Oryctolagus cuniculus: one gene and its partner. The protein of the gene in region 1 binds, or shares a complex with, the protein of each later gene. Links are inferred from orthologs where the notes say so. Each region holds a gene or a part of one and is shown in the gene's direction. Other genes may lie near its edges.

Region 1 (15,106 bases):
CAAGCCATGAGGCCCTGTAAAAGACCTCACCCAACTACTCCACTGCCCCTGAGGAAAAGAAAATGGTGGTCTGTCAGGCTCACGCCAAGGTGACCATGAACGACTTTGACTATTTCAAACTGCTGGGCTAGGGCACCTTCAGCAAAGTCATCCTGGTGCGGGAGAAGGCCACCAGCCACTGCTTCACCATGAAGATCCTGAGGACAGAGGTCATCATCGCTAAGGATGAAGTCGCTGCCACAGTCACTGAGAGCCGGGTCCTCCAGAACACCAGGCACCTGTTCCTCACGGTGTGTCTTCACAGAGGCGCAGGCTCGGTTTTCCAGTGCACAGATTGTCTTGGCTCTCGAGTGCTTGCACTCACGGGAAGTGGTATACCACGACATCAAGCTGGAAAAACTCATGCTGTACAAAAATGACTGACTTCGGCCTGTGCACAGAGGGCATCAGCGACAGTGTCACCATGAAGGCCTTCTGTGGAACGCCTGAGTACCTGCTGCCTGAGGTGCTGGAGGACAACGACTACTGCCAGGCTTAGAAGCAAAACTCACCTCCTATAAGTACCGTGCGCTACCGATTGCGCCACTGGAGTGCCCAGAAGTCACCTCCTTAACTGGATGTCACCCTTCACTGTTCTGCTACTGCCACCTCCAGCAACCAGGACCACGACTGCTTCTTCAAGCTGATCCTCATGGAGTATATCCATTTCCCATGAATGCTCAGGCTGGAGGCCAAGTTCCAGCTCTCCAGGCTGCTCAAGAGGCTCGGTGGCGGGCCCAATGATGTCAAAGAGGTCATGAAGCACATTTGTAGCATGGAATGGATATCCTTTGACATAGCTAGTCAATCCTATGAGAAACTTGCATATGTCAAAGGATATCCATTCCATGCTACAAATGCTGCTCTTTAAACCTCAGGTCACATCTGAGGTCGACACTCTAATCATGAGTTCACTGCCCACTCCATAATAATCATACCTCTCGACTGGTATGACACCTAGAGTTGCTGGATCTGGATTCGCGAACACATTTCCTGTAGTTCTACTCAGGCAGCTTTTTAAAAAGGAATCTTTATGTTTTTGACTTTTTGGTTTGTGTTCCCAGCCCTCACTGCCTCATCCGTTTTCAGTTTCTCTTTTATCCTCTCCCAAACACCTCAGCAATTTGTACAAGTGGTATTGTCTCTGGCCTCACCTCTGCTCACATGAGCATTTGGGAGATGCCACTCTTCCTTTCCAGTCCCAGGCTGTTGGGAAGAGGAGAAGCCCTTCAGGGTTTAATTAATACAAGTCCTGAGGAGGATGACCGTCGGGCCTACCCGAGTTTCTGTGGGGGCAGAAAAGCAATGATGTCCAAGGAGAGCAGGGCTTCTGGAAGCTGTGACATCAGGGGGTAAGGGCGGTATTGGGCCCTGTGGAACTGGGGGTCTCCTGCACCACCTACCTCCTTTCTCCCGGTCCCCAAGGCCCCATGTTCTGCAGGCTTAAGATGATCATCGTAAGCACAAGTCCAACTGAGTGCTGTGATCATATGTGTGTGCCTAGGACTGTGTGATAGCAGCGTCCTGAACCACTAGATGCAGATATGTGTGTGTGTGTGTGTGTGTGTGTGTGTGTGTGTGAGGGCACCCCTCAAGTATGCACAAGAGCATGTTCAGTGCTCAGGCTCCTCCCTGGCCTGAGCATTTCACATCCTGGGGGAAAGGTGCTGACCCACCAAGTGAGCCCCACATCCCCTACTCACAGCATTTCTGGGTGTTTAAAATTCAATTTATTTAGTTTGGGTCCCCCCACCCAGTCCTTGTACAACCCACTTCACAGAAAGGCAATGGGGGAGGGCATTACTTGGGTAGGGGACTTCTTTTCCTTTGTATGTGTGTTGCTTATCAGACAATTCTACCCAGTCTCCACTGGCCTTCCCTACTCTTATTTCTACCATGCAAGCAATAACAACACTCATTTCAAACAGGCTCAGCCTGCATGTCTGCCAGCCAAAATAAAAAAAGTTACATATGATTGGCAGTACATTATTTAATGTTGCCTGTTTTTCTTTAGTTTGTTGAAATGTCCCTTTCCTTGATGCCTTAGAGTTTGTAAAATCTTTTGAAATATAGTATACATACAGAAGAGGGTACATATCTTAATAATACAACTCAAAGAATAACCATGGAGTGAACAAATTTGTCTTCCTCTCCCCTCCTCCTGCATCACCAGCCCAAAGTAATTCCTATCCTGCCTTCTAACACCATAGCCTTACCTGTTTTTTTTTAAAGATTTATTTTGAAATGCAGATTTACAGAGAGAGAGAGAAAAAAGTTTGTAAAGAGAGAGGTCTTCCATCCACTGGCTCACTCCCCAGATGGCCTCAATGGCCAGGGCTGGGCTAGGCTGAAGCCAGGAGCCAGGAGCTTCATCCAGGTCACCCACGTGGGTTCAGGGACTGAAACACTTGGGCAATCTTCTACTGCTTTTCCCAGGCCATTAGCAGTGAACTGCATCAGAACTGGAGCAGCTAGGACACAAACTGGCTCCTGTAAAGGATAGTGGCATCATAGGCAGACACAATGTGGGCCCCCAGTCTTGCCTCTTTTAAAACTTTATAAAACGTGAGCCATCTTCTATGATTTTCTTCTTTTACTCATGTTGTATCTAGAAATTCATCCATTTGGATGCTTATAATTCGCCCATTTTCACTCCTGCTGTATAATGTCATATCATGTAGGACATATGCATTATTTTTGAGTGTTTTTAACTCTAAATAAAGATTCATAAATATTCTTGCAATGTGTTTCATGGAGCACATATGCAAGTTTCTCATAGGATTGACTAGCTATGTCAAAGGATATCCATTCCATGCTACAATGCCAGTTTCCCAAAGCCATTGCACCAATTGCTTTGTCTAACAGCAGTATATTAATGTTCTGTTATCCCACATTTTTAATAACATGAAATATCATCTGCCTTTCAAGTTTTTGTCAATCTGGTGAATGAGAAACTTCTTTTTTGCAAATTCCAAATTCTTCCAAATTTGTGTTTGTCTAATAACTCATGAGATTGAAGACCTTTTCATGTTTATAGATCATTTGTTTTCTATGAAATTTTTGTTAATGAATTTCACCCATTTTTAATTAGTAGTTTTGCTTATTTCTTATTGATCAGTAGGAATTGTTTATATATTCTGTATTTTAATATATTTAGATGAAAAATACCTTGCCCAAAGTCCTATATTGCCTTCCAAAATTTTATAGTTTTGTCTTTCACACTTAAGTTCCTCAGCTACTTGGAACTGATTTTTTTGTATGAGGCAGAGTCTGATTTCATTTTTGTCATATTGCAAAAATGTATAATTTGCCATTCACGAACTTTGAACAGAATTTCTGTACCTAAAGGCAGTTCTAGAAACTGAGAAAAACAAATAGATGCAATAAATTCCAAGAAGCAATAAATTCCAAGGAGCAAAACTAAATTCTGAACAATGACTACCTGGGACTGCAGCTGGCTGACCATTGGGCAGCATGGGAATGTTGAAAGAAGACAAGTCTTGTGAGCATCCATCCTCTGAGTCAGGTGGCTAGCCTTTCCAGTACTTTTCCACTGTAAGCTTTGCCTCAATAAAAACTAAAACAAGATTTTGCTCTTTTTTCAGTTCTTTGGACTACAGTAGTTTGGATAAGTATTTGCCTTCTGCTCTGGCAAGTCTAGTCTCTGTTATGATGTGAATAACCAGTATACCCCACATATCACATAGAGAAAGTCTATCCTCTCCCTACTGACTTGCAGTGCCACCTCTGTCATTGCTCTGTTTCTGTGTCTAAACCTTACTCTCTCAGCAACCACTGCTTCATTACAGGTCTTGCTATCTGGACAGCAGCTTCCCCCCACTCCTTGATTTTCTAGAGCATTTTATATATTCTTGCTATTCACAACTCCATATTTTTTTTCAGGCTTCACAAAACATATATGTTGAAATTCCTGCTGGCATTGCATTGACTCTTATAGGAAAATTTCAGGAGAAGTAATAGCCCAAAGAAATTGAGTCTTCCAAACTACAAACATTTATCTCTTCATTTCTTAGCTCTTCTTTAATCAATTCCAATAGAACGTTATAATTCTCTCCATACAGTACAAATGTATCGTTCAGTTTATTCCTAGGTATTTGATAGTTGTAGATGTTATGATAAAATTGTACCTTCTAAAATTACAAGTTCTGTCTGTTGCTGGTATATAGAAATGCAGTTGATTTCTATATGATGGTAGCCAGCAACCTTGCTAATATCATTATTAATTTCTATCTGGTCTGCAATGGTGCTAGAAATCGACATTTTTGTATCACATAAATTGTATTCTATGCTGCCAGTGTGGTTGACTATCTCTCCATAACTTTATTTTATTTTCATTCCTTTCTATTCCCCATTTTTGTTTCTTGTTTTATCCCTCTCCTGTTAAGTGTTTTCCTTATTTTAAAGTTTTTAATATATGAAATATAATAACTCTTTTTCTACCACACCTAATTTCTACCACTAATTTCCCCAGTTTGCCTTATGTTCTATAATTCCATTCATGATAAGTTCTTAAGTACAAAGAGGTTGGCTGCTATTTCAGTGAATAAGGAAATGCGTATGTTTGTTTATATGAGTAATTTTCCATGCTTCCTAACATCAATCTGTTTTGGTATCATAGGGTCTTGGCCTGTATCCCTTGGAAAATAGAGCATGCGACAAAGTTTATATGCTAGTATTCTATGACGGGGTATCATATAGATGTCTTCACGCAGAGGGTGAAGAAACCACTAGCTTTTTCAGAAGGTGTTCCAAGTCCAATCCTTCAAAAGGCAGTTATGTCCTAAAAACACTTAAAAAGAGTTGGTAACCCTAGCTACAGTTTCAACTGCTGCAGCTTCTCTGGGAATTCTAATGGATGGGTATCTTCTTCCACCCATTTTACACATCCCTCCTCCTCAGTCAGCCCTTCAATGGACTAGGTGGCTTGCCTGCTGGGGTGACTCATCTTCATCTTTGATGGGTCTAAGTTCCACAGCTTGCAGTTTGGTGGAAACTTTATTGTGTTCCTGGTGGAACTGCTTCATTTTCCCTGATTACAGGAAGTAGGATCATTAATTCAATAAAGTCAATCCAACTCCAAAGTCTATCCTAAGTGTCCATTTCCTAAGACCAATACCTCATTTCTGACAACTGTTTTCTAAGCCTGGGTTCACTGGAAGATAGAGTGTGATTTGAGACATGTATGCGAAAACCTTACTGTAGGATGCAATTCCATGAGTGCAAGAGTAATAGGGAAAGGAAAATGAGGCAGGGAAGGATGGAAAGAAAATACAAATTTGCGTGCTCCTAAGCTTGTCACTGCTACTGAAGAAAATACAGCTTGTTTCTCAGTCCCCCTGGATACCTCCAGATAGGTGGTATACAACCATAGCACATTGGATTCCCAAGGTAGGGAATTGATCTGCTACTATTTAAAAAAAAAAACACACACACAAAGATGGTACATATCTATGGGGTATTATATGATGCTTTGATACACACATACGTTATGTGATGTCCAATTAGGTAAACAAATATATTTCCTCTAACACTTAACGTCTCTTTATGGTGAAAACAATCAAAATCCTATATTCTAGCTTTTAAAATAAATTAGTCACATCCACTGTGCAATAGAATCATAGAAATTCTTACTCCTCTCTAGCTGTAACAGTACCCATTAATAAGCCTTTCCCCATCACTTGCTAGCAGGTTTTTGTCTCATTTCTCTCACTGCTCAAAGTTCATCCTCCTGGGCCATAACTTTCTCACACCCCTGAGTTGTTTTGCTGGTTCCAGAAGGGCTAAGAGTCATGACAGCCTCCATGGATGCAGTCAGACTGAGCTTGAATGCAGATTCTCTGGGAGTAGTGAGCATAATAGAGGTCGTTAAAGAAACTGACCTTCACTTTGGAAAAGGCCGAAGGAGTCAGATTTATTAAGAGATGTAGCAATTGCAGAGGCAGTCAGGGATTTTGATCGTTTATGTGCCTGAGGGTCTGGGAATTAGATGAAGGCTGAGAAAATATGGAGGGGTATAAAATTGAATGAGGCCATGTGTACTGAGGTTCCTGTATTTGGACAAACAAGGCAATTCTAATCCTAAATATTTCAGAGGTGTATAAAGGAAAATCTGGTCAGTTACAGACTAATTGTAAGAGATACTGGAACATCGGTTTCCTAAATAGCATTACTGCCAACAACATTGGACTCCCACCAGCAACACTGAAGAAATTGTATGCTTTCACATTCTCTCCAACACTTCATATTGTCAGACTTTTTGAGAATTGAATGGGAGTACAGTGGCATCTCATTGCAGTCTTGATTTGCATTTCTTTGACCACTAACACTGAGAAGTTGAACATGTCTTCATATGTTTATTGGCCCATATGTGTTTCTCTATTTGTGAATTCTGTTTGTCTATGAAATATCATGTCTTTTCCTCATTTCTCTACCAGATTGTTTGTTTTTCTTATTAATCTGTAGTCTTTTATATTTTCAAGATAGGAATTTTTTGTCACTTGTGTTTCTTGAAAATATATTCCCCTTATGCACATCTGGTCTTTTTTGTACTTTATGTATTTTTTGATGAATAAAAGTTCTTGATGTTGGGGCTGGTGTTGTGGTACAGTGGGTTAAGCCATATCCTGCAACTCCAACATCCTGTATGAGTCTGTGGGTTCAAGTCCTGGCTGTTCTACTTCTGATCCAGTTTCTTGCTAATATACCTGGGAAAGCAATGGAAGAAAGCCCAAGTGCTTGTGCTCTTGCCATTCACATAGGAGACCCAGATAGAGTTCCTGGATCCTGGCTTTTGCCTGGCCCACTCCTGGCTGTTGTGGCCATTTGGAAAGTGAAGCAGTGGATGGAAGATAGATCTCTCTCTCTCTCTGTCTGTGTCTCTGTGTCCCCTTATCTCTGTGTAACTCTATCTTTGAAATAAATAAATCTTTGTAAATAAGTTCTTAATGTTAATAAAGTTAAACATCACTATTGTACTTTATTGTGAATGGTTAGCATTAAGAGCTTTAAATGTGTGTTTTTACGTGTAAGTATTTAATGCACCTGGAATATATTATTCTTTTGTATATCACATGAAGTTGGGTTCCAATGTCATCTTTTCAAATATAAATATTTTCCAGCTTCAGTTAAAGCCCTTCCTCACTTACCTAACATGCTAAGTACATCATGTACCATACAGTTCTGTGCATGCACAGGTGTGTTTCTGGGCGCTGTGCCTGCATCCATTTATGGGTACAGACTAGAGTTCACCACCTCTTACATTCTTTAAGTTCCACTAAAGCTGGCTAATTCTGATTTTCTGTGTTTTCCTGAGTGTACAAACGGCTCTAGGCGTCATCAGGTAGAAGCTGCCTCCCTGCTACCCCCATGAATTCTGCTCAGGCCTGTTAGGGCGTGGGCTGCGCGGTGAACCAGCCAGAGGCTGGGGACGACCTCCAGGTTTTTAATCCTTCCGGGTTCAGTCGCACACCTGCTTGGGCCCTTAGCGCAGGGCCTTTTTTGGTTTCTAAAGGGTCGCTGCGGTGAGCTCGCCGCGTCAGGTGGACCTAGGAGTGGGCGGGCTCAGGGGCGGGGGCGAGGGGCGGCAGTGGGCGGGGCGTGGGTGGAGCTCCGCCCCCGGCCGCCCGGCGCGCCGCCTGCGGGGTGGTGACAGGCCCAGCAGCGCCAAGTCCCCGCCGCCTCCGCAGACTCCGCCGCCGCACAGGCCTGGGCCCTCGCACTCCCAGCGCTGCCTGGACCAGCAGCCTTGTGTCCCGACCCCTGGAAGATGACGCTCAAAGCGAGCGAGGGCGAGGGTGGGGGCAGCATGCGGACGGCACTCTCCGACCTCTACCTAGAGCACTTGCTGCAGAAGCGCAGCCGGCCAGAGGTGAGCGGGCCCGGTGGGTCCTCTGGGTGCGGGGCCGGGACTCAGCTCCGGGCCCGACCATCAGCCTGAGGACTTCCTCTGTCCCCGGGAGAATCAATCCCTGGGGAGCCTGTCCTTGAGGGTGTTGGTCCCAGGATGGAGGCCGCGGCAGCTTGCGGGGTGGGGGCCCAGCGAATGCGCGGCGGGGTTCATGCTGGGCTCGGAGTGCGGTGGATCCGAACAGTCCTGCTAGATGGCAATCTGGAGGCCGCAGCCTGGACAGAATGCTCGTTAAGGTCAAGGGAAACTTCCTCATGGATGGAAGTCACAATAACAGAAACACTTTAAGAGCACACTCATGAGAATGTCTGCTTGCTGGTTGTTGAACTGCCTGTGTTTGGGTCAACTTCTGGCTTGAAATCGCTCACTCACTGTCCCTCTGCAGTTAGGACAGCCCCCTTGTGCTCTGCTGCAAATAGGGTAGCCTGTGTGGATTGAGGGGTGGAAGAAGGAATCCAAGGACTTGGAAGGTTATCCTGCCCTCAGGATTCCAGTGATGGTCAGTAAATACCTATTACCCTTTGTCTTCAAAGATGCCCTGAGGGGAGGTTGTGGCTATCTGCTGTTTTGTAGCAAGTCTTCAGTACTGTGAGCATTTTCCTGGTATTATCTGCTGTGCATTTGGGGATCTCTTAGGCAGGGGCACAGCCACAGGACTGCTCCCTCCTTCTCTCCCTCACTCATCTGAACATCGATGCTGCCTCTCGAACCAAGCAGCATCTTCTCCCTGTGGCCTGGAGAGTGTGTCAAGAGAGATACACACACAAAGACGCTAGATGCTGCATTCATTCGTTAGTACATATAAGCTCACTGGCCAAGACCATGATACTAGCCATTTGCTTTTAAAGACACAGTTTCTCTGTCCTCTTGCAGGTCAGGGGTATTTCACACTCAAGTGTTTAAATATCTTTAAGTGGGCCCTTAGAAATACTTGCTGAATTAATTAATAAACAAAGAGGTGGACATTAGAGAATTAGAGTAACTTTCCAATTTCACAGAAAAGTAAACTGAAGATCACTAAGACACCTCTGTCTGTCATTTCAAATCATGATTACAACACCGTGGGCCTCAGTGTGGAAATGAGCAGCCATGGAAAATGCTATTGCTATAGAGATGAGAATCGATGTTCACTTGACTGAACTTTCAAAAAATCTGTTTACTGAATTTATTTGGACACTTTTATTGAAATATACTTATATAATAGAATTCACTAATTATTTTTGTGTAGTTTGATGAGATTTGACACATATATACAATCATATAACTATTATCACAATCATGACATATAACAAACATTTGCATCATTCTAGAAATTTCCCTTGTGGCCCTTTGCAATAAGTCTCCCCTTACCTGGAGCCTGGCAACCACTGATCTAACACTGCACACTTGCCTTGTTTTGGATTGTGTATAAATAGAATCATAAACTATGTAGTATTTTGTGTCTGCTTCCTTATGCTTGAAAGAATGTGTGCCTTTTTGAAAAGATGCCCTTTCACTATTGGAGTGGTTCTGTATATACACTCTCTGAGGAAACAGCAGTTTTCCTTGGGCTATGAGTTTATCATAGAATATCAAATACACTTAGATAATTTGTTTCAATATTATTTAAGGATTTAAAGAAGCTGGAAGGTGGAATAAGAAAACTTGCTAACCTTTCAAATAAAATAGTGTATAGATCTGCCAAGGTACACATCAGAGGGAGAATTTGCAAATGAGGTTCATCTTCCCATTGGGAGCTTTACCACTCTTTGCCACAACACTAGGCTCTGCATCTCACTTGCTGTGTGGCCTTGGGCAAGCTGCTGGAAGACTCTGTGCCTTAGGTTTCTCTTCTCTATGCATTGGTTCTTAAGACATCAGATGCTGCGCTATGCCACATTCTGATGCAGTATTGATTGCAGATCTATGAAGTAAATAAGGAAACATGCAGATGCACAAATTAAGACAGCAGCATGGGGTGGTGCAATTGAGGTATGACTGCTGGATCCTACATTTGGCAGTATCCAGGATATAATGGACAAATAACAGTCCAGGCAGACACCAACGGTTTTGCTGAATACCATACATCCTGTGATGTCTTGCCAGAGGCTGGAATATTCATAATCTGCCCCTAATTATGATTTTTCCAGAAAAAGAATTTTCTGCACAATTGCATTTGATTGTTTCATGACAAGAGACACTTTCCATGTAAGGCTTTTCTTTTCACAGAAGGGATACTAGAAGATGAAGTGCAATTTTTAAATTATTTCAGCTTCTCCCCAACTTTCCCAGTAAGTGATGCCGGTCCAGTGCTTCCCTATCCTTCACCAGCAGGAACGTTTTTCTTTTAAAACTAGAAAGACTAGTATACCTTGCAGATAAGAATCTGGTTTGATTGTGGCTAAGTAGGATAGAGCTCTGTTCTTTTCTAAGTCATCTGCTAGCCTTTGAAGGAGAATTTCAAGTCAGGATCAGCATTGCTCAACCTTGGTGCTGTCATCATTTTGGGTCTGATCATTCTTCATTGTGAAAAGTACCATCTTGCGTCTGTCCCCACCCTAGTTGTAGGGATCAAGAATGTCTTCAGAGATTGCCAAGGAGGGAAGATGAAAAGAATTGACATTTTATTGATGCAGAGATTTTTTTCCCTGGAAACAATGACTTGCTTTAACCTTTCAGTGTTACTTAAAAAGAAGGACACTGGGTGTGGAGTACAAAATGACAAGAATAAAAAAAATCATATTTCAAAATTGGCTGGGGATGGGGGTGGGGTATCAGTGATGCTAGATGTGGAGAAGAGGAAATAAAACCCTGAATTAGGGAACCAGAAGATAGCTTTCGTAACATGGAATTTTCTGATTTTTCACTTTTTCTTTTTTCCTTCATATAAAGAAATATTTGAGCAAAACACCTAATAAGTTTTTACTCAAAGGTCGCTTTCCCTGTGAGGTCTTTTCTGTTTTATTTTCTCCCATAGTACACATCATTGTCTTCAAAAAATTCTGTCTAACCAACGTGCAGTTTGTAGCCCTGACACAAGGTTGCCTATGCAGTCTTTCCTTGCAACAATGATAAACTCTGAAGTCCATAGTTTAACTCCTGGAGCCTAACACTGATTGTCCTGTAAGCTTGGACAAGTCTCTGAACCACTTTGTGCTTGCAAATATTGATCACAAAATGAGGATGTGAATTTAATGAGTGGCATTATTTACCAATAATTTCAGCAGGGTTTAATGGCGGGCAGTGTGAGGACTCAACACCAGGTGTCTGGATTTGCAGTCCTGTGTGTCTTCTCTATGGAACTTGGCTTTCCTGTTTTTCTACAGTGGAAGGAGAAGCCGAGTGCATTGGGCAGATAAGTTGTTGGAAGCTTGACCTTTGGATGGGTTCTTAGGCCTTGCTCTCTCCCCAGTTCTTATCATGTGGTTAAACAGTGCTAATCTCTTTCAAAAACCTTGAGGCATTCTTGGCTTTCTCACAGTTTCTTGTGTGTGTGTGTGTGTGTGTGTGTGTGTGTTTTCCCAATGTAGACCAGGATATTGCCCAGGCAGAGAGTGGGTTTTCCAGCTGTGGCAGGCTGGCAGCCCCCAGGGTCTGCTGTCTCCTTCTTGTACTTGGCTTTCTAGGTCTTGTGGCTGTCATGGGCAAAGAGGCCAACCATGGACTAAAACAGTCTCTTTTTCCTGATTCTCTCCCTTGCTCCTAAAGCCAACTGTAATTGCCCCTGTAGTGTTCAGCCCCACCACTGTCCACCCCCTGCCAAGTTTGTTTTTAAATTCCAACTTCCTTTGAGTAACTGCCTCTGTCCTTTGAACCCTGCTGCAGATGTTTCCTCCGAAGGGGGTTTCAGAGCAGCAGGCATTGCTTTCAAGGGCAGAGGCTGCAGAGCAAAGGCCAGACATGGAGTTGCAGACAAGTGTTTACCACTGTTCCTCCTGAATTTAAGATGTCATCTTAAAACACAGCCACTTCCACCCTGCCTTTACTTTGGTTGCGGGGGTGGAGGGCAGGATTTCCATAGCCCTGGGACCTCTTGTGTCTACTGGAGATGGCGCTGCAGTTTCATGGAGACATTGTGGAGGTTGTGAAGTAGGCTTTGTGAAATGGAATCTACCCTTGACCTTCATTATTTGTTCAACATTATTCATGTCACTTTGCATAGCCTAGCTCCTGTGATACCTGCAGTGAGGAGATGTGGAGGCCGATGGAAGGAGTTCCTATAAGATGGGGTTGCAGGGAAGCTGGCCCTCCCTTTTGAAGAGTCTCAGGAAGACAGGGTGGCTCATGGACAAGTTCATGGTAGAGAAAATCCTGCTTTGCTTTCAGAAGCCTTGACTTGGGAGTTTGTTCTTTAGTTAGCACACTGGAGGTTTCCGTTTTTCTTAGTCATCATTTGCAACTTCTGGTGAGTGTGGTAGTGACTCTTAGTCATTGCAAAGCAGGGTGTCTGGCTGGATAAGCACATTTGCAAGACCAACCTTTGGGATAGCAACTCTTGAACTTTTCTGACTAGAATGTGCTCTACCTCTAGTAAACTTTGCTGAGTCCTTAATTTAAAGGCTGACATGTTAAAAGTAATCATTGTAATCAAGCTGAGTAAGAAAAATATGAGGCAAGGGTGCCAGTTTATCTTCCTCTTTTAGGTACACAATGAACACCTGATGATGTTGCGTGTAGATTTTCCCCTCCTTTCAAAGGTCATATTGTATTCTGTGTACTAAGACTTTCTGCTCTTATGTTCTCTAGAACATTATGCAAGGGTGTACCAAGGCCAGAAACACAGGCGTGTAGTGATAGATCGCCATGGTTTTAATTTGCGTTTGTCCATGATGGTTAATGATGTTGAACATTTTTTCATATCCTTGTGTGCTATCCTCATGTATCCCCTTTGGTGAAATTTTTTTTCACATCTTTTGTTCATTTTCAAATTAGATTGTTTTCACTGTGTAATATTGAGCATTCTTTTTTTAAAAAAATTTATTTATTTCAAAGGCAGAGAGAGAGAGAGAGGTCGTCCATTTGCTGGTCCACTCCCCAAATGACCACAATGCTGATGTCGTAGGTGGCAGCTTACCCACTACACTATAATGCCAGCCCCTGAGCATTCTTTATATATTCCAGATAATAGTTTAATAGTTTTTTGTTGAGTATGTGCTTTGCACATACTTTCTCCCTGTTTATGGCTTGCATTTTTATCATCTTCACATGGGCTTTCATAGACCAGAAGTTTTTAATTTTGACGAGGTCTAATTTGTTAATTTTTCCTTTTATGGGTCCTGCTTTTGGTGCAAGCTTTAATAACTCTGTGTAGCCCTAGATCCCAATAATTTTCTTCTATTTTTTTCTTTAAAGTTTTATACTTTACATTGAAGTCCATAGTCCATTTCAGAAGGTTTAAGGTTTAGGTCAGTATCTGTTTATGGATGTGCTTCTGGGTTACCTGTTCAGTTGCATTGATTCTTCCACTTTCTTCTTTTTCAGCTATTCATGATTTTCATATGTATATGATTTGTCAAAGGTTAAGTTGTCTAGAGGTAGTTTTAATGTAACCTGTGTGGTTCAGGTGAGTGAAAATAGTCAAGTGTAAGAAAAATAACACTCATGTGCTCAGTGACCAGGTGGCACAGCAGTGACAGCAGGGAACATTTCTGCCAGGACCACCTGGAGAGCAGGTGCCTGATTTGAGATTTTTAAAAAGTTGGAGTCTCTTGAGTTTTACTAAATAAAACAAAAACACATGGTCAAAATAAAATTAATTTGTGGACCATCAGCTTGTAAGTGAATGTGATTAGTGGCCCTTTCGCTTCATTTCTTCTCTCCTCTTTTTACTTCTTAAATTGTATAATATTGTATGTACCTTCATATTGTCATGGTACTGTCATGTACAGTCTGTCCCTTAACTATAATTGTTTCATGATGTGTCATATGGATTCTAGAAAATAAAAATCAGATCTCATTTGGGATGGCAAGATGCCCAACTAAATTCTTTTCTTTCCAGCCCATTTTTTTTTTTTTTTTAGCTTGGGATGGCTAAGTTCCACAACTCTGGCCAATGAGACAAGAATAGCTGTCCCCCGGGGAAGTACTGGGATGAATGCAGCTGGCCTGGCCCTTCTTCCTCCTTCCTGACTTGAAAGTGGAGCTGATGGCCAGAGTGGCAGCTGTTTCATGTATGTTTGAAACCCAACCCTCATTGCTTTCAGGGATTCTGAGCCCTGACCCTGTGCTGTGCTGCAGTGTGGCACAGTTGTTCCCGCAACAGATTCCTCCTCTGGGCACCTAATCAAGCTATTGATAGCTTTTATACCTAATGACTTTTAACAATGTTTTCTTTTTTATGGGTTTCTGTTTCCTTCCCTTCTTTACTGTCATTTAAACCAAGTTTGTCGGGGAAAGGAGCTGGGCACAGTGGTGGAGGGGATGGCACAGGGAGATCTGCTCAAGAACTTAGGCTTGAACCAGAATCTCAATCACTTAGGAAAATTCTATTTTAACAGTAGAGAAAGCACTGTGGTTGGAGAACTTTTAAGAAAAACAGACTTTTATTTGCAGCATTGTTCAGCAGTTAATAAAAGAGCCAGGACACAAGCTCAGACAGTGTATATGTTTCTTTTAAAACGTTTGCACTGTATTTGCACCCTGTGCTTTTTGTGTTACTAAAATTTGTGATTAAAGTAATGCAAGCACATAGTACATAATTTTCAAGTTACGAGCGGATATATAGTGGAAACAATTTCCTTCTCAACCCACTCTGTAGGTACCCAGTTCCGTTCCCCAGAATCAACCTAATAGATTATGCATTTATAAACATATCAGTTTTATGCTGTTACCTTTCCTCTCATTGCTCCCAGTTGTACCACGTCAGTTTTCCACGTACAATGCTATCTGTGACAGTAATGCCATCTGACTGGTTATCATGTGACTTTTAAACTTCTAGTTGCTAGACAAAGCAGTTTCTCTTTCTCAGTACTTCCCTTATATGATGTTACCCAATAACTCACACTACTTCAAACCTCACCATCATATCAGAGTTTCCATTGACTCCTTAGAAAAAATGCAGTATATTAAAATCAAAATGTTATTTGGAGGATCATTCCTGGATATGGCTAGAGTACCACTGCCATTCATTTTCAGCTTGTACCCAGAAACCAGACCTTTCCA
Region 2 (15,106 bases), on another chromosome or scaffold:
TGTGCTTAGCCACATGCTCTTCCACTCACTCCAGAGGTCCCCTGTCTCCAGGTCACGGCTGCTGCCCTCTGCATGCCCCATGCCCCACCCACCCTTGGAATCTTGGAACTTCACCCAACACCCTCTTCACTTTGCACAATTCCTTTACCCAACAGTAAGCAGCTCTGCAAAGGGAGAGTGTGCAAAACAAGCTAAGTCTACCGTCTTGAGCCAAACACAGGAAGGAACTTATACATGAGAGTACTGGAGAAGCGATCAGTGACCATGTCCCCGTGGCTTCCTGTGACCATTCCCATCTGTGACAGTTACAGCTGCTGTGATCATGACACACTTATGTCCTTACATGCCTAGTTCGTTTGCATGACTTTTAGTCATTTTTTTAAAATTTTTTATGTATTTATTTTCTTCTACTTGAAAGAATGACAATGATAGAACTTGAGAGAGAGAAAGTTTCCATCTGCTGGTTCATTCCCCAGATGGCCACAACAGCCAGGGCTGAGCCAGGCTGAAACCAGGAGTCTGGAACTTCACCCAGGTCTCCCACATGGGTGGCAGGGGCCCAAGTACTTGAGCCATCCTCTGCCACCTTCCAGGATGTGTTAGCAAGAAGCTGGGTTGGAAGCAGAGCTGCTGAGACTTGACCCAGCTCACCAATATAGGACATAGGCATTTCAAGTGGCAACTTAACCTGCTGCACCACGACACCCACCCCAACATGAATTTATCATTTTCTCTACTGTATTATGCATCTTCTGTCTGTATCATGGTTACCAAATGCACAGAACTTCCAGGAGATGTACACCCACCTTTCAGAGCACAGTAGACTTGAGTATCATTCTCTTGTTTGGAAGTGAAGTCACTGAGCGAATTGGCAAGCAGTCAACCAGGAATGAGAGGCAGAGAGGCCACACTGGCTGCCTGCCAGGTCCCACTCTGTCCTTGCTTGTGAGCTAGTTCTAGAAATTAAAGGAGATAAAACATGCAAAGCTCTTAAGAAAAGTTTGTGAAGAATTACAATTCCTGTTCTCCTTTTCTTAGTCCAAGACTAAGTATCCCAAACTTCTCCCTCCTCTTAGCTAAAGAGAGAGCAAAGCCCCCCACATGGTGTAAGAGGAGCTCCCTCCTCTCTTTGGTGGGCTCAGGAGTTCACGGGGAGCAGGTGGAGATGCAGACATTCAGTTCTGTTTCACACCAACGGCTTAGGCCCAAAGGAAGGGGGCTGTGCGCCAAATTCGGCTTCCTGAAAGTTAGCAAGGCGCTTCCTCACCACATCCTCATTTCTGATGGGAGCTCTGGGAGCTTGTTCAGCACATTCCTGCCTCTTTCCCGCCTGTCTCCAGGGGCATCCAGCATGCACAGTCACAGATGTCTGTGTAGTGGCACCAGAAGTCCACCTGGGACCCTGGGGTGTGCCAGGCAGGGTGGGGCCACCACGAACAAGGAACTGGTGGCCCCATCCCCCACCCCAGGCACGGACCTCTCCATGGATAGGCCTGCAGGGCACCTGCTCAGTCACTGCGGGGCGTGAGCAGCTACAACATCTCTATGGTCCTCAGGTTCTCTTTCTTTGAAGAAGAGGGAAAAGGAAAAGCAAACTCAAAGCAAGCACCACCCACAAGGACAGTTAATAATGACCACGTGTGGGAGAGCACAGCACCAGGCCTGGCACATGCTGGGTGCCCAGGAAATTGCCCCGTGTGTATAATCCCACGCCTGCTGTGATGCACTTCTTATGGAAAGTTACACAACCTGGAGAGCATCTGAGCCACCAAGCTGACCTCTTTGCCCTCTTTTCCTTTTCTCAACTCTTCTGCTAGAGATTTGCACTCCCCCTGATCCATCTCGGGGCACTTTCCTCCTTTTCCCCCAGTCTGAAGCTTCCCAAATTTTCTCAGCCCTGCTCTAAACAGATTGGTTTTCTTTGTTTATTAATATTTATCTAGCTACCTGTTTGAAAGGCAGAATGACAGAGACTGGGCAAGACAGACAGAGACATCTTCCATGCCCTGGTTCACTCTGCAAGTGGCTATAACAGCCAGAGCTGGGCCAGGCAGAAGGTAGGAGCCTGGAAGTCCATCCTGGTCTCCCTTGTGGATGGCAACCATCTGAGTACTAGGGCCAGCTTCTGCTGCCTTCCCAGGTGCATTAGCAGGAAGCTGGGTCAGAAACAGAATACCTGGGACTCAGATGGGCACTCCAATTCATAATGCTGGTGTGCCAAGTGGTGGCTTAACCTGTTGCACAATAATGTTGGATATTTATTTAATGATGTAATTATTTATTTGAAAGGCAGTTACAGAGGAGGAGGAGGGGGGAGAGAGAGAGATCCTCCATTTGATGGTCCACTCCCCAAGTGGCTACAACAGTTGGGGCTGGGCCAGACCAAAGCCAGGAGCCCATAAGTCTATATTGATCTCACATATGGGTGGCAGAAGCCCAAGGACTTGGGTCATCTTCTGCTGCTTTCCCAGGTACATTAGCAGGGAACTAGATTGGAAGTGGAGCAGCCGGGACTAGAACCAGTGCCCAGTACAGGATGCTGGCACTGCAGTAGGTCGCTTAAACCACTATACCACAACACCAGCCCCACAGCTTGTCTTTTGTCAGTGAACCCACAGATGAGAACCCACCTTTGTGTCACTTCACACCCCCCAGACCACCTGGTTCCACCGGGTTTCTGTATTGTTGCACTTCTCTTAGAGAACCATGAGGATGTATGGCCATTCTGGATGCCTAACCAGGTACCCATAGCTGACGCACTGCTGTAAGTTCAGGGCAAGACTGCAGCTGTGGCTATGAGTCCCACAGCCCCACTCTCCCCTCTAGCTTGCACTATAAGAGCCAGCCTTTAGCAGCCTCCAGGAGAAAAAAACAGAACCTGGCAGCTCAGTCCCAGCGAAGGTCTCCTCTGAGCTTTTACACCCCTCTGCAAAGGGTTCTTGGAAAGAATGTTCTTCTGGGGAAAGGGAGATTTTCCTGGGGAGGGCTGTGGGACTGGAGGCCACTGACCTCTCTGTGCCAATCAGATTGCCTCTTGTACCCCCTGTTCCCTACTCTGTCATGATGAGGAGCTTGGGACAGCATGAACAGTGGAACTGTTAGGAAACTGGCGCAGTTTTAGCCAGGTGGCTGCATGGCCCAGCTACCTGAGCCAGGCTCCACCCCCATCCTAATGGAATTCACTGCTCCTGCTTCCCTGCCTGCCCCCTGGCGAAGTTTTAAAAGGGCCTGTTCCTGAACACGTGCTCTCTTGGCTCTTGGTCCTTCTCTTTCGGTTCCTCTCTCTAGCCTCCTCCTCTGGTCTCTTGGCTCTCTCTCTCTCAGCTCCTCTCTGCTCTCTTCTCTCCTTGCTAGCTCCTCTCCTCTCTGTTTCTCTTATATCTTTCTCTTTTTCCTTCGCCGCCCCTTCACTCCAGTCTGTAGGGTGTTCTCCAATAAACCCTTTCCCTTACTCTGGTGTTCGGTGTGTTTTGCGACGGCTAACATTAATATATAACAGGAACCCTGGTTATTTTCTTTCCATTCCTCTTAAAATAGGCTTCACCACATTTGGGGCTTCTTAAGCATCAACCAGCTTGCCAATCATTTCAGTAAAACTATGTTTCTGTGCTAATAGAACAGGGTAAAAAGAGACAAGACACGGAATACACGTAAAAAAGTGTTGTTGTTATAGGGAGTTCAAATAGATCAGTAGGAAAAATGTCAGCCAACTCCCCAAGTTGAGAAAACAGCAGGAATAAATAGTCCACCTAAAGACCATGAGGTTTGGGGGTGTGCACTTAGCACAGTGCCTCAGGTACCTCCACCCAGGATCATAGGGCTCAGGTTCAAGTCCATGACTATTTCTGATACAGCTTCCTGCTAATGTGCACCCTGGAAGGCAGAAGGTGATGATGACACAAGTAGTTGGGCCTCTGACAGCACTGTGAGAGATCCAGATGGAGTTCTTGCTCCTGTCTGAGGCCTGGCCCATCCCCGCTGTTGTAGGCATTTGGGGAGCAAACCAGTAGAAGGGAGATCTCTCTCTTCCTGTCTGTCTCAATGGCACTCTCTGCTTTTGTAATCGATAGAACAAATACATGAATAAAAATTCAATAGTGAAGGTTTACCAATTAAAATGTGACAGTGCAGACAACATCACTGGTAATCAGGAAAATGCAAGCACATGCTTCTCCACGACAGGATTCACAATGATTTAAACATCCTGCTTCATTCTGGCCAGAGGCTCTGAAATGAGCACCGGCACTCTTGACCGGGGAGTACACAGATTGCTGCAGCCACGCCTCCTGAGGGTTCCAGCCTTAAACGCACTCCCAAGCTTGAATCTGGTCATTCCACTTGTGGAAGTACAAACGAAGGGGAAAATAGGAAACGCTGGTATTCACACACATACAGTTATCAGAGCACTATTTGCAAAATGCAACAACCAAATCATTAAGATGAACTAAAGAGCTTTTCCATTTTATGCAGGAAAACAGACGCGACATAATATTTGGGGGTGGGGGCGACCATAGTCCTGTTTTGGGCAACTGTCAAGGAAACAGCAATGAGAAGCAGCCCAGGGGCCTGGCATTTGGCCTGGCACCCAGCATCGGTGTGCGTGGGTTGCACATTCAGCTCTGTTCCTAACTCTAGCTTTCTTCCAATGAGGAAACTGAGAGGCAGCAGGGGATGAGCCAAGTGACTGGGTTCCTGCCACATACATACATACACACACACACACACACACACACAGAGTGGAGGCGACCTGGACAGAGTTCCTGGCTCCTGGCTTCCACCAGGAGCCACTGCAGGCATCCGGGGAGTGAATCAGCAGGCAGGAGTTCTCCCTGTCTTTCTGCATTTCAAATATACAAGTAAATATTGTTTTTTTATTTTTTAAAAAATTTTTAAAGATTTTATTTATGTATTTGAGAGGTAGAGTTACGTATAGTGAGAGGGAAAGAGGGAGATAAAGGTCTTCCATCCACTGGTTCATTCCCAGATTGGCCGCAACGTCTAGAGTTGTGCTGATCCGAAGCCAGGAATCTTGTGGGTCTCCCATGTGGGTGCAGGAGCCCAAGCATTTGGACCATCTTCTCCTGCTTTCTCAGGCCACAGCAGAGAACTGGATTGGAAGCAGAGCAGCAGTGACCAGAACCAGCGCCCATATGGGATGATGGCGTGCGGGCGGGGGGCGGGCAGGGGATTAACCTACTGTAGCACAGCGCTGACCCCAAATATTGTTTTTTAAACAAAGAAAAGCACAAAAAGGTCAGACATCAGACATGAAAAGTCCCCCGCCCCCGGCTGGGATTTCAAACCAGGTGGCCTGGTCTCAAGCGCCTCCTGCTCCTGTGGAAAGGCGAGGCGGGGATGGGGTTCTCCAATCTGAGTAACTACAGGCTCAGAAGTCAGGTCCAGGTTTTAACCAAGCAGAGTGAATTCTCCACAAACTCCAGTGTGTCTGACTTTGTCTGACAGTCCTACTTCTTTTTTCCCTATAATAAGATTTCCCTACCAAGCGGGACCAGAGCTGGTCTGTCCCTCATTTCATAGCCGTGCCGGGCAGGCCCCCTAGCCGGGCCATCCGCGGGGAAGTTTTTAGGAGCACACGGTTGGGGGGTACTTCTCAACCACAGGCTCTGTATCTGGCAGTCGCAGATGGAAACCGAAACAGCGAGAAAAGCCGCCGGAGAGTTGGAGCACCGCGGAGTTCAGAAGTGGGCGGGTGTGTGTGTTTAAAAAAAAAAAAAGGGTGGAAACCCCACCAAGCCAAGTCTGCAGAAAAAACAAATGAAGTGTGCCTATCTCCGGCCTGGAGCCCCTCCCCTCGGCCCGCGCCCGGGGACCGTGACCCAGCTCCGCGCCCTCCTGGCCGCCGAGGGTCCGGAGCCCGCGCGCGCGCGCGACCCTCGCCGCCCGCCGCTGCGCCCGGGGCCGGCGCCCGCGACCCGTCGGCGATGAGCAGCGGCAACGACACCTCGCAGCTCCCGCCCAACGGTGAGTACCCGCTCTGGGCAGGGGCCTCTTCGGGGGCCCACAGCGGGCCGCGCCGAAGAGACCCTGACGCTTTGCCTGGCGCTGGGCGGGTTGAACCAGGAGCCTGAGTGCAGCCCCCAAGCCAGCATGGAGCCCGCCCGGCGTCCGGACCCGACGCGCGAGGTCTGCGCGCTGCGAAGCCTGGGGAGGCCGCCGGACACCCGCCTCCCGTTCAATCCCGCGCGCGCGCGCGCGCGGGCGCGACCGCGGCTCGCTTTCTCTTTCTTGGTGCGGGAAACTTCTGGCCAGAGCTCGTCTCCGGCAGCGTTCGGCCACGCAGCCTACAGAGGCTACGGAGAAGTTGCCTTCTCTGCTGGCGGGTGTAGGGCAGGGCCCTGGGTCTGCTCCAAGCCCGCGGGGATGGCCCTCCAGGGCGCCTAGGGTGTCCCAAGAGGTGCAGGACCCCCCGCTGGCTTCGGCCCTTGATGGGCTTGTACCTCCCTAGCTACCTGATTTCTTTCTTTGTAGAGCCAGCACTTGCTTTCTTGCGGGCAGGAAATCGTACGCTTTGAGATTCTTGGTAGATGGTCAGAAACATGGCAGGACTGTCCCCACCCTCCCTCTCCTCCTCCTCCTCCTTCTCTGCTGTTGGGCTTTAAAAGGTCCAAAAGAAAATATTATTTTACTTTTTTCAGATGGATGTTTCTCCCTTTCATCTCCCACCCTGGCTGGGGCCATTCTTTAGGGTCTGTTGGAGAGGAGATGCTGCAAGTCCTATAGTATGTTGACCTTAAATAATTAATAGGATAATGAAATGAGGGTGGGAGCAGCAGACGCTTTGGGAAGTTTTGAAGTTGTAGTGGCAGAGAGGACCGGCCCTGGCCAAGCTTGAGCACTGGTGAGCAAGGCTGACTTGGGACGGCAGGTGAGTGCAGTGCCCCTGCGTATGCATGCAACAGTGCAACAGTTCGTGCACTTCCCTGAGTCAGCCAAGTGTGCACAGGGCAAGGGCTCAGGGCTCGGCGTCCGTCCTCAAAGCATCTGTGACAGTTACTAAACAGGGGCCTGAAGACAGTCTCTGTGCTCGTTTCAACATCTGCAAAAATGGAAGTCTAGTCGGGCTGTGAGAATGAAATGTGGCTCAGAGACAGACATGCAGGGTGTTCAATACACAGCAGGCGCCTCTGTGTTCATTCCCCAGGGGACTGCGGGTCCCTGAGTTCATGTGTGTTTACATGTGTGTCTGACTCCAGCTCAGGGATCTGTGTGCCTGTGTGGCAGGGCCAGGTCAAGAGACAGAAGGCACTGAGGAAGTGCAGGCTTCGTCTTTCCGGTGTCTGGAAAGCCTGGCCCACGCCCCAAGCAGACCTTGGCCCAGGACCGCAGGCACCTCCCTTCGGCAGTGGCGAGGATGCAGCCCTTGCTTGCACATCATCCCAGATCCCCCTTCCGATGTGATTTACGGCAGGAGCGGGAGAACAGCGGTGGGGGTGGGGGTGGCCCTCCTTGTGTTAGCTGTGGCAGGATGTGTCTACATCCTGTCTCAGTGTGTTTACACAGCTTCTGCTCTGAACCAGACGTTAGCATGGAGAGGACCCGCTTCTGGGGGCTGGGGCCGCCCTGGCCAGCCAGCACTCCCTGCTCCCAGGTCTGAGCACCACGGTGACTGCCAGTGAGTCATGAATGGCCCTCCATGGCTGTACCCTTGGATGCAAGGGGTCAAGTGTCCACGAGGAGATGGCCAGGTTGGGCAGCTTTATATAGAATCTGCTGCCTCTGGCAGAAGCTGCGAGAGGGGGTTGCATTCAGTGCCAAATGAAATTCCATCTCAGCGGTTGCTCAATCTCTCCCAGATACCGGTGGCGGTGGGAGTCACATGGAGCTGGCACAGTCAGCAGCTGGAGCTTTCCAAGGGAATCTAAGGTGGGGCAAGTGTTTCCGGGGACTTGCAAAGCATCCTGGGAAGCAGAGGGTGTGGGGTCGGAGACGATCTGTGTTTGCAGCTGGAAGGCATAAACACTTCTACAGTGGGTAGGAAGGGCCCCTCAGCAGCCCAGGGAGATTGAGGAAGCCAAGCCAGCTTGCCTCTGAGTGGCAGATACTCAGAAACTTCATGGAAAATGCACATGAAAAACATTGCATGGATTTCAATTATCTTGCACCAAAATAAACATCTTTTTATATAAGTAAAAGGATTTTTTTAAAAGATTTATTTATTTATTTGAAAGACAGGGTTAGAGAGACCATCCATCTGCTAATTCACTCCCCAAATGGCTGCAATGGCCAGAGCTAGGCTGACCCAAAGGCAGGAGCCTGGAGCTTCTTCTGGGGAGATCCAAGCACTTGGGCATTCCGCTGCTCTCTCAGGTGCTTTAACTGGGAGCTGGATCAAAAGAGGAGCATCTTGGACTTGAACTGGCACCCAGATGGGATGCCAGTGTTGCAGATAGCAGCTTTACCTGGTACATCACAGTGTTGGTCCCAGGACTGATTGATTTGAAAGAGAGAGAGAGAGAGAGAGAAAGAGAGAAAATCTTCCATCTACTGGCTTACTTCCCCAAATGGCTGCAATGGCCAGGCCAAAGCCAGGCTCCATCCAGGCCTTCCTGGGAGGCAGAGCTCTAAGTTCTCTGGCCATCCTCTGCTACTTTCCAGGTGCATCAGCAGGGAGCTGGATGGGAAGTGGAGCACCTTGGATTCCAACTGGCGCAGTGATATGGAAGGTGTAACTCACCACACCTCAATAGCGGTCCCTAGAATACATCTTAAAGACTATACCTTGTCAACATAGCTGTACTGACTAGTTATTCTCATGTCTGCAGAGTCTGAATTAGGCGGAACATTTGAATGAACGCTTTTGTGCGATTCCCATCAGCCCCTCCTCTGCAGCAGGGGGCATGGCCCAAGGTCCCATGGCCAGTTAGTGACGGCTTTGGAGCCAGGCCTGGGTTTGATTCCCTCTGCGGCATCTGCCAGCTTTGGGGGAGACGCAGATGCCTCAGAGCCTCTGTCTCCCCATCTGTCAGTGGCAATAAGTTGAGCTACTGTGCCTCAGCCACATTAGTGGGCCACACGCCCAGTGCGAACTGATCAGGGAAGCGTGGCCTGTGGGTGCGGTAGGCTCAGGAGGGAACCTATGCACACCTGCTGTTGTTTTGTTTTTCGCTATGCAGCAGCAGCAACGTTCATCCTTCTTGGGGGCGGGCCTGGGCCCCTCCTCCATCCTAGTGAGAGGGACTGTTGTGCACCTGTTGGTGGCTGCAGAGGAGAGCCTTGGAAGGGCAGGGGGAGCTGCTGGGCGGGCCAGGCAGAGAGGAGCACGGGAGAAGCACACAGTAGCAGGATGCACTGCTGGACTGCATAGGCACGGGCACTGGGAACCTGCCAGCCATGCCACAGATCCCCAGCTATGCTTGTGGTCCAACCCACTCCCACCACAGCCCACTGGGGCTCTCTTTTGTATGATCAGGACTGCCCTACTCTGGGCTGCCTCCCTTCACCCTGCCTTGGCCAGCAGGCTGGGCTCCTCCTGCACCCCTCCCCCAAGCCTGCTTGACTGTCTGGCTTCACCTCTCACAGCTGTCCGGGTCAGGCTTTTGGGGTAACTACCCCTCCCCCCGCCACCTAACACACACACCTGCTTGTCTGTCAAGGCCTCCTTTACATAATCCCACACCACAGAAGATTCCCCCAAACCCAGAAGAACCACCCTCCGTGGCCCAGGGGCACTGGGCAGCCGTGATGGGTCCCGGGTCCCAGAATTCTGTAACCCCCACCTAGTTGCTCCCAGGCACCCTGCATGGAGAGGTGCTGAGCCAGCCACAATGACATGAATGGGGGATGATTGCACAGGTGACCTCGATAGCAGGGCTGCTGTGGTTCCAGCACCAAAAGCCCGCCCCTTTGGGCCACAGTCCGTTTGAGAACTCACAGTGAGCAGCTCCTAGGCTGGAACTTGGCATCTACTTGGAAGCCAGGAAATAATAAGCTGAAATGGGCAGAAAATCAAGCCAGAGCTGATAGGCCCCGGAATTTACTCCCAGGCCTTCACTGAGTCCTATTTCATGCCGGCTCCCGGTCTCTAGTCCCTGCCCCCACCCTCCCACCACCACCTCCCTCTCTTCTCAGCCTGGGCTTTCCTTCAGATCATTGTATAGTCTGACCTTCTGAGAGAAGGCTGGCTCCTACCCTTGCCTATTATAAATTTTAATTTCTGTACATTCTTCTAGAACAATCTTTGAGCACAAGACCTTAGCAGAGAGTGATAGGAGTTCATTCTCCACCCCCCGCCCCCGAGAGGGGTCGAGCCCAGCCCACTGACACCGGATGCCATCCAGGGCAGGGTAGAGGTAGGAGAGGGCCTTCCAGGACCCCTCCACATGCCTGCCGGGCTGCCAGGCAGCCTGGTGGTTACTGCCACTTGCTGTGGCTTCACAGTGAAACCCTGGGCCCTAGAGGAGTGTGCTTGCTCATCAGCCTGGCTCCAAGGCCCCTGCCTTATCTCCCACCCAGACATCTTCAGATCCTCATCCTCCCATTCATAACTCTGTTTAAAGGCACATCCTTTTATTTATTTGAAAGAGCAGCAGAGAGAGGGAAAAACAGTGAGGTCTTCCATCCACTGGTTCATTCCCCAAATGCCCGCAATAGTCAGGTTAGGGCCAGGCTGGAGGCAGGAGCCACAAGCTCCACCCAGGTCTCCCACATGGGTGGCAGAAATTCAAGTCCTTGGGCCATCTTCTGTTGCTTTCCCAGGGGCATTAGCAGGGAGCTGGATCGGAAACAGAGAATCCGGGGCTCCACCCGGCACTCTGATGTGGGATGCCAATGCTGCAAGCCAGGACATCTACCTTGCCACTACAGTGCCAACCCCCCATTCATAACTCCTGACAGCTGTTTGTGATACTATCACTTGTGTCTGATCATCCCACAAACTCCTTCCATGTTAAAGCCACACACCGCTCCTCTTATTGCCAGACTGTCATGGTCACCTACAGTTTGGAGCTCAGCAGGCAAACCACTGGCCCCTTTCCAGAACACTGAGGGAGGGAAACTTCCTTTTCAGGGCCCTTGTGTAGGATGAGCCCTGGGCAAGGCTGCCCCAGTTATCTTCCTGCACCCCTGGCACACCCTAACACAGCTCCTTATCTCTGCTCTGCACGGGATGGCATGGATGGACACATCTCGTATAGAGAGCTGCCCCCTAGAGCCCTCATACCTCCTGCTGCTGCGTGCAGAGTGCATGTTTATGAGTGGCTGGAGTAGGGGCTTCAGCTGACTCCAGGTTCCAGCATGGCCACTCCTCCTCAAGGAATAGAGAATTGAGAATCTTCTCATTTTATCAGTAGCCGTCGCATGCACGTATCCTTAGTAGTGTTAAGGGGGAGATACTTGTGGTTTGCTGAGTTCAAACCAATGGGACAATCCTGCCTGTGTGCCTTGTGCACTGGGCCCCACCAGTGACAACTCCTGGATTCACCAGGCAGCAGAGTCCACTGGCTGGGAATCGTCTTCCACTCAGGACGCTGCTGCCCAATGCTCTCAACGAAACCTACACACATCCCTGAGCCAAGCTAGAGGCCAAGGTCAGGTTCCCCTCCTGGATTTTTTGAAAATCCTTTTAGTTCAAACTTTGCATCAATTTGCTTGTTGCAAACCTTCGTCATACCAGCTCCAAGTGATATTTGGAGTCTAGAGGTTTGGTTTAGAATCCAGACCTACCATTCGCTGGTTGTGACCTTAGGTGATTTCCCTGGCCTCGCTGTGTCACAGTTCATGGTCCAGGACAGGGCTGGCTTCGCGGGTGTGAGACCAGTGCCCAGCAGACCCGTCACTGCTTTGGTTTCCTGCTGTGCTGCCCCGTCTTCAGATCCTTCATTTTTGAACAAGAGCCTCAAGAGTTTTCATCTCACATGGAGACCCCCAAAGTTGATGACCAGCCTGATGCCTGTAAATGGGGCTACCAATAGTTGCTGCCTAGGGTTTGCTCTGATACTAGGTGCCTTCCCTGGATGACATACCTGGCACAGGGCTCAGTACACATCCCTCACTAAGCTTCATCACTGCCTGGTTCAGGCACACTGCTCAGCTTCTTCCTCATCTCAGCCTTGCCTCTGCTTGCCCCTCTAGCACTAAAATCACACCCAAGGACAGGAGCCAATGTGCCCAGGGCAAGGCCCTCTGCCCAGCACAGGTGCTTCCTCCCCCATGGCTCTGGTGAGCTGGCCGGTGATCACCTCCTCCCACACTGCTCTTTCATGTGTGCATCAAAGCTGTGGGCTGGGTATGCAGGCCGGCAGCCTGCTCCCACACCAGCTGTGCAACTTGGAGCAAACTTCTAACCCTCTGAACCTCAGTCTCTTCACATGTTACACTATGGAGGGGCTCAGGGTCCCCTGCCTCATCTGATGCTTAACTGCAGGAGTTGTGGCTGCCTTGTTCTAAAAGTGGGGTCTTTAAAAACATCCATGAATAATGGGTGAGTGAGTGGATGGATAGATGGATGGATGGGATGGATGGGGGAAGATGGATAGATGGGTGGATGAATGGTGGATGGTGTGAAAATTCAGCCAGGATAGACAGGGCTGTCTACACAGCATGCCCACAGCCCCAGTGTCTGCTACACTCTCATCCCCTTGCTGTCTCTGTGCACTGCTCCTCACACACCTTGTGTGCTGTGCAGGTCCCTGTCCACACCCTGACCCTGACTCACTCTCCCTTTCTCTGTCTTCTTGCACCTGTCATTCTATTCGTCTACGCTTGCCTTTGAACAGCTCACACCCCGGACTCTCTGGGCTACTCCTTAAGGCTTTATCCCCTCTCCCTGGGGAGGACTCATTTCCAGCCCATACTCTGGGCCCCAAACACCTGCCAGAGTAGCAGACCTTACCTCTTTGGGTCATGCCTTGAGACTGGTGTTGTCCTTTAAATCACCTCTCTTGAACTTCTGGAAAAACTTCTTATTTTAGTAAAGTTAAATTTCAGTTAGAGTGGAAAATCCAGAGTATTCCCCCTTTTTTTTTTAATTCACAATCTTTGCTTTCTCTGACCTGGGCCGGTTCACCCCTTCTTAGGCAACCTGGTGGTCCCCCGCTCCCAGAAGGTCACCATATTGAAGCTGAACTTAGTGCGGACACCCGATCAGCATAGCGCACGACAGCCCAGAACTCTTGGACTCAAGGGATCATCCGGCCTCAGCCTCCCGAGTAGCTGGGACTACAGGCGCGCACCACCCACTACCGCGCCTGGATCACAACCTTTGCTTTCTCACAAACGCTACTTTATTCTGGCCCCTCCCCATCTTGGGGCGACTCGGAGTAGTCAGATGCAGGCTTTATGCCACGTAACTTGTCTCAGTTCACCCTCAGGCAGCCCGGGGAGGTATTTTTATCTGCCCTTTGCATGTGATGCTGCCGAAACCAGACTAGATGTGACTTCCAGAGGATCCCTGTGGGCCCCTCATGCCCCCTTTCTCCCCGCCCACCAACCACAGAGTTAATAAGGGGCATCCCAAGCAGGTCCATCTGCCAGGCTCAGAGCCCCAGTGCTGTGAGAAGCCCACAAATATGCCTTGGTTTCTCTTCCTATCAGAAGGAAGAAAATGAACCTTTAAGGTCAACAAATGCATTTGTCTGTATTCCAATGCAATCATACGATCTAAGATTTATTTATTTTATTTACTTGGAGTATAGAGTGATGGGAGCAGTGAGAGAGGGAGGGAGGGAGGGAGGGAGGAAGGAAGGGAGAAAAAGAGAAAGAGAGAGAGAGAGAGAGGGAGAGAGAGAAAGACTGATTTTCTCCATCCACTGGTTTACTCCCCAAATGCCTGTAACAGCCAGGACTAGACCAGGCCAAAGCCAGGGGTCAAGAACTCCATCTGGGTTTCCCATGTAGATGATCAGAAATCAACCACATGAGCCATTGCCTGCTGCTTCCCAGGGTGTGCATTTGCAAGAAGATGGAATGGAGAGAGGAGGCAGGACTCAAACCCAAGCATTTCCATATGGGATGTGGACAGCCCAAAGGGTGGCTTAACAGTGGAGCCAAACATCCACCCCAAAATACAATTGATATTTGAGAGGAGGAGCTCATAAAACCACAGCAACTGGGCCCACAGAAGTCACACTGGCCCTGGCCCAGGCCAGCTGAGGTTGAGGGTCCGTCCCCCCATAACCAGCTCTGTCCCTGGCTCCCAGCGCTCTGAGCCTTCTCTGCATGGCAGCCCTGCTTCCCTCGCCGTCCTGCACAGAGCCAGAAGGAAATTCTTGGGAGACCCAGACAGAGATTTCGCTCTCACTCTCCTCTCCCCTCTCATGTTTTCTATCTCTGTCCCTCTTCGTCTTCCTCTTAACTCTTCTGGCCTTTTAAGCCGTGAAATAAGGACCTAATAGAAGTATACATCTTCTTTGCTCTGTTGCATTACCCTAGAAACATCTCATGCAGGCACAAGACAAGAGGAAGGATGGAGAAAAGGGGTGACTTGGAGATAAAGCAAGTAACAACTGAAAGACTGTGAGCTCTGAGCAGATAAAGATGAGGGACATCAGTGTTAAGGGTCCCCCAAGTGTGGAGCCCAAGAGGGTGTTGGGACACTTTCAAGGTTGCACTGATCACTCCCTACTGCTGTACAAAAGGACGGGCAGTGGACAGCACGTAGCAAAGGCCACTCTGTTCCACTCTGTACCCAGCCAGAAGGTAGGTATAAGTACACACACACACACTCAAATACATACACATGTGCACATATATATGCACACAAATATACATACACATAAGCACACACATATACAAATATACATACACACATGTACATATACATACACACATATATACATGCACATGTATAATGCACAAATGGTACACACATGCTCATACATGTGCACACCTGTACATATAAGCACACGTGTACACATACACAAAGCACACATATACATACATATGCATGCATGCATAAGCATACATACACATATGCACATATACATGCATATACACACACATACAATCCTGAAGAGGTTCCACGGCTGCAAGTATTAATTCCAGTAAATACAAAATGGACACTGAAAGGCCGGCGCCGCGGCTCAATAGGCCAATCCTCCACCTGCAGTGCAGCTCCCGGGGTTCTAGTCCCGGTTGGGGCGCCGGATTC

The links.
Region 2: the proteins of MPP1 (region 1) and GYPC are in contact, whole or in part, in an NMR structure (PDB 2EJY), measured with the Homo sapiens proteins. The link is inferred for Oryctolagus cuniculus from reciprocal best matches to the Homo sapiens genes MPP1 and GYPC. Residues at the interface, in NP_002427.1 of Homo sapiens: Pro81, Met82, Gly83, Ile84, Leu86, Lys87, Leu88, Leu100, Val130, Gln134; in NP_002092.1 of Homo sapiens: Arg123, Lys124, Glu125, Tyr126, Ile128.

Annotation. Positions count from the first base shown.
Region 1 is NC_091453.1:133,417,760-133,432,865, reverse strand, and holds the start of MPP1 (55 kDa erythrocyte membrane protein), read left to right. Parts: upstream 1-7,825; coding exon 7,826-7,927; intron 7,928-15,106. UniProt on the Homo sapiens protein: Essential regulator of neutrophil polarity. Regulates neutrophil polarization by regulating AKT1 phosphorylation through a mechanism that is independent of PIK3CG activity.
Region 2 is NC_091434.1:122,855,672-122,870,777, reverse strand, and holds the start of GYPC (glycophorin-C), read left to right. Parts: upstream 1-5,779; 5' UTR 5,780-5,942; coding exon 5,943-5,982; intron 5,983-15,106. UniProt on the Homo sapiens protein: This protein is a minor sialoglycoprotein in human erythrocyte membranes. The blood group Gerbich antigens and receptors for Plasmodium falciparum merozoites are most likely located within the extracellular domain.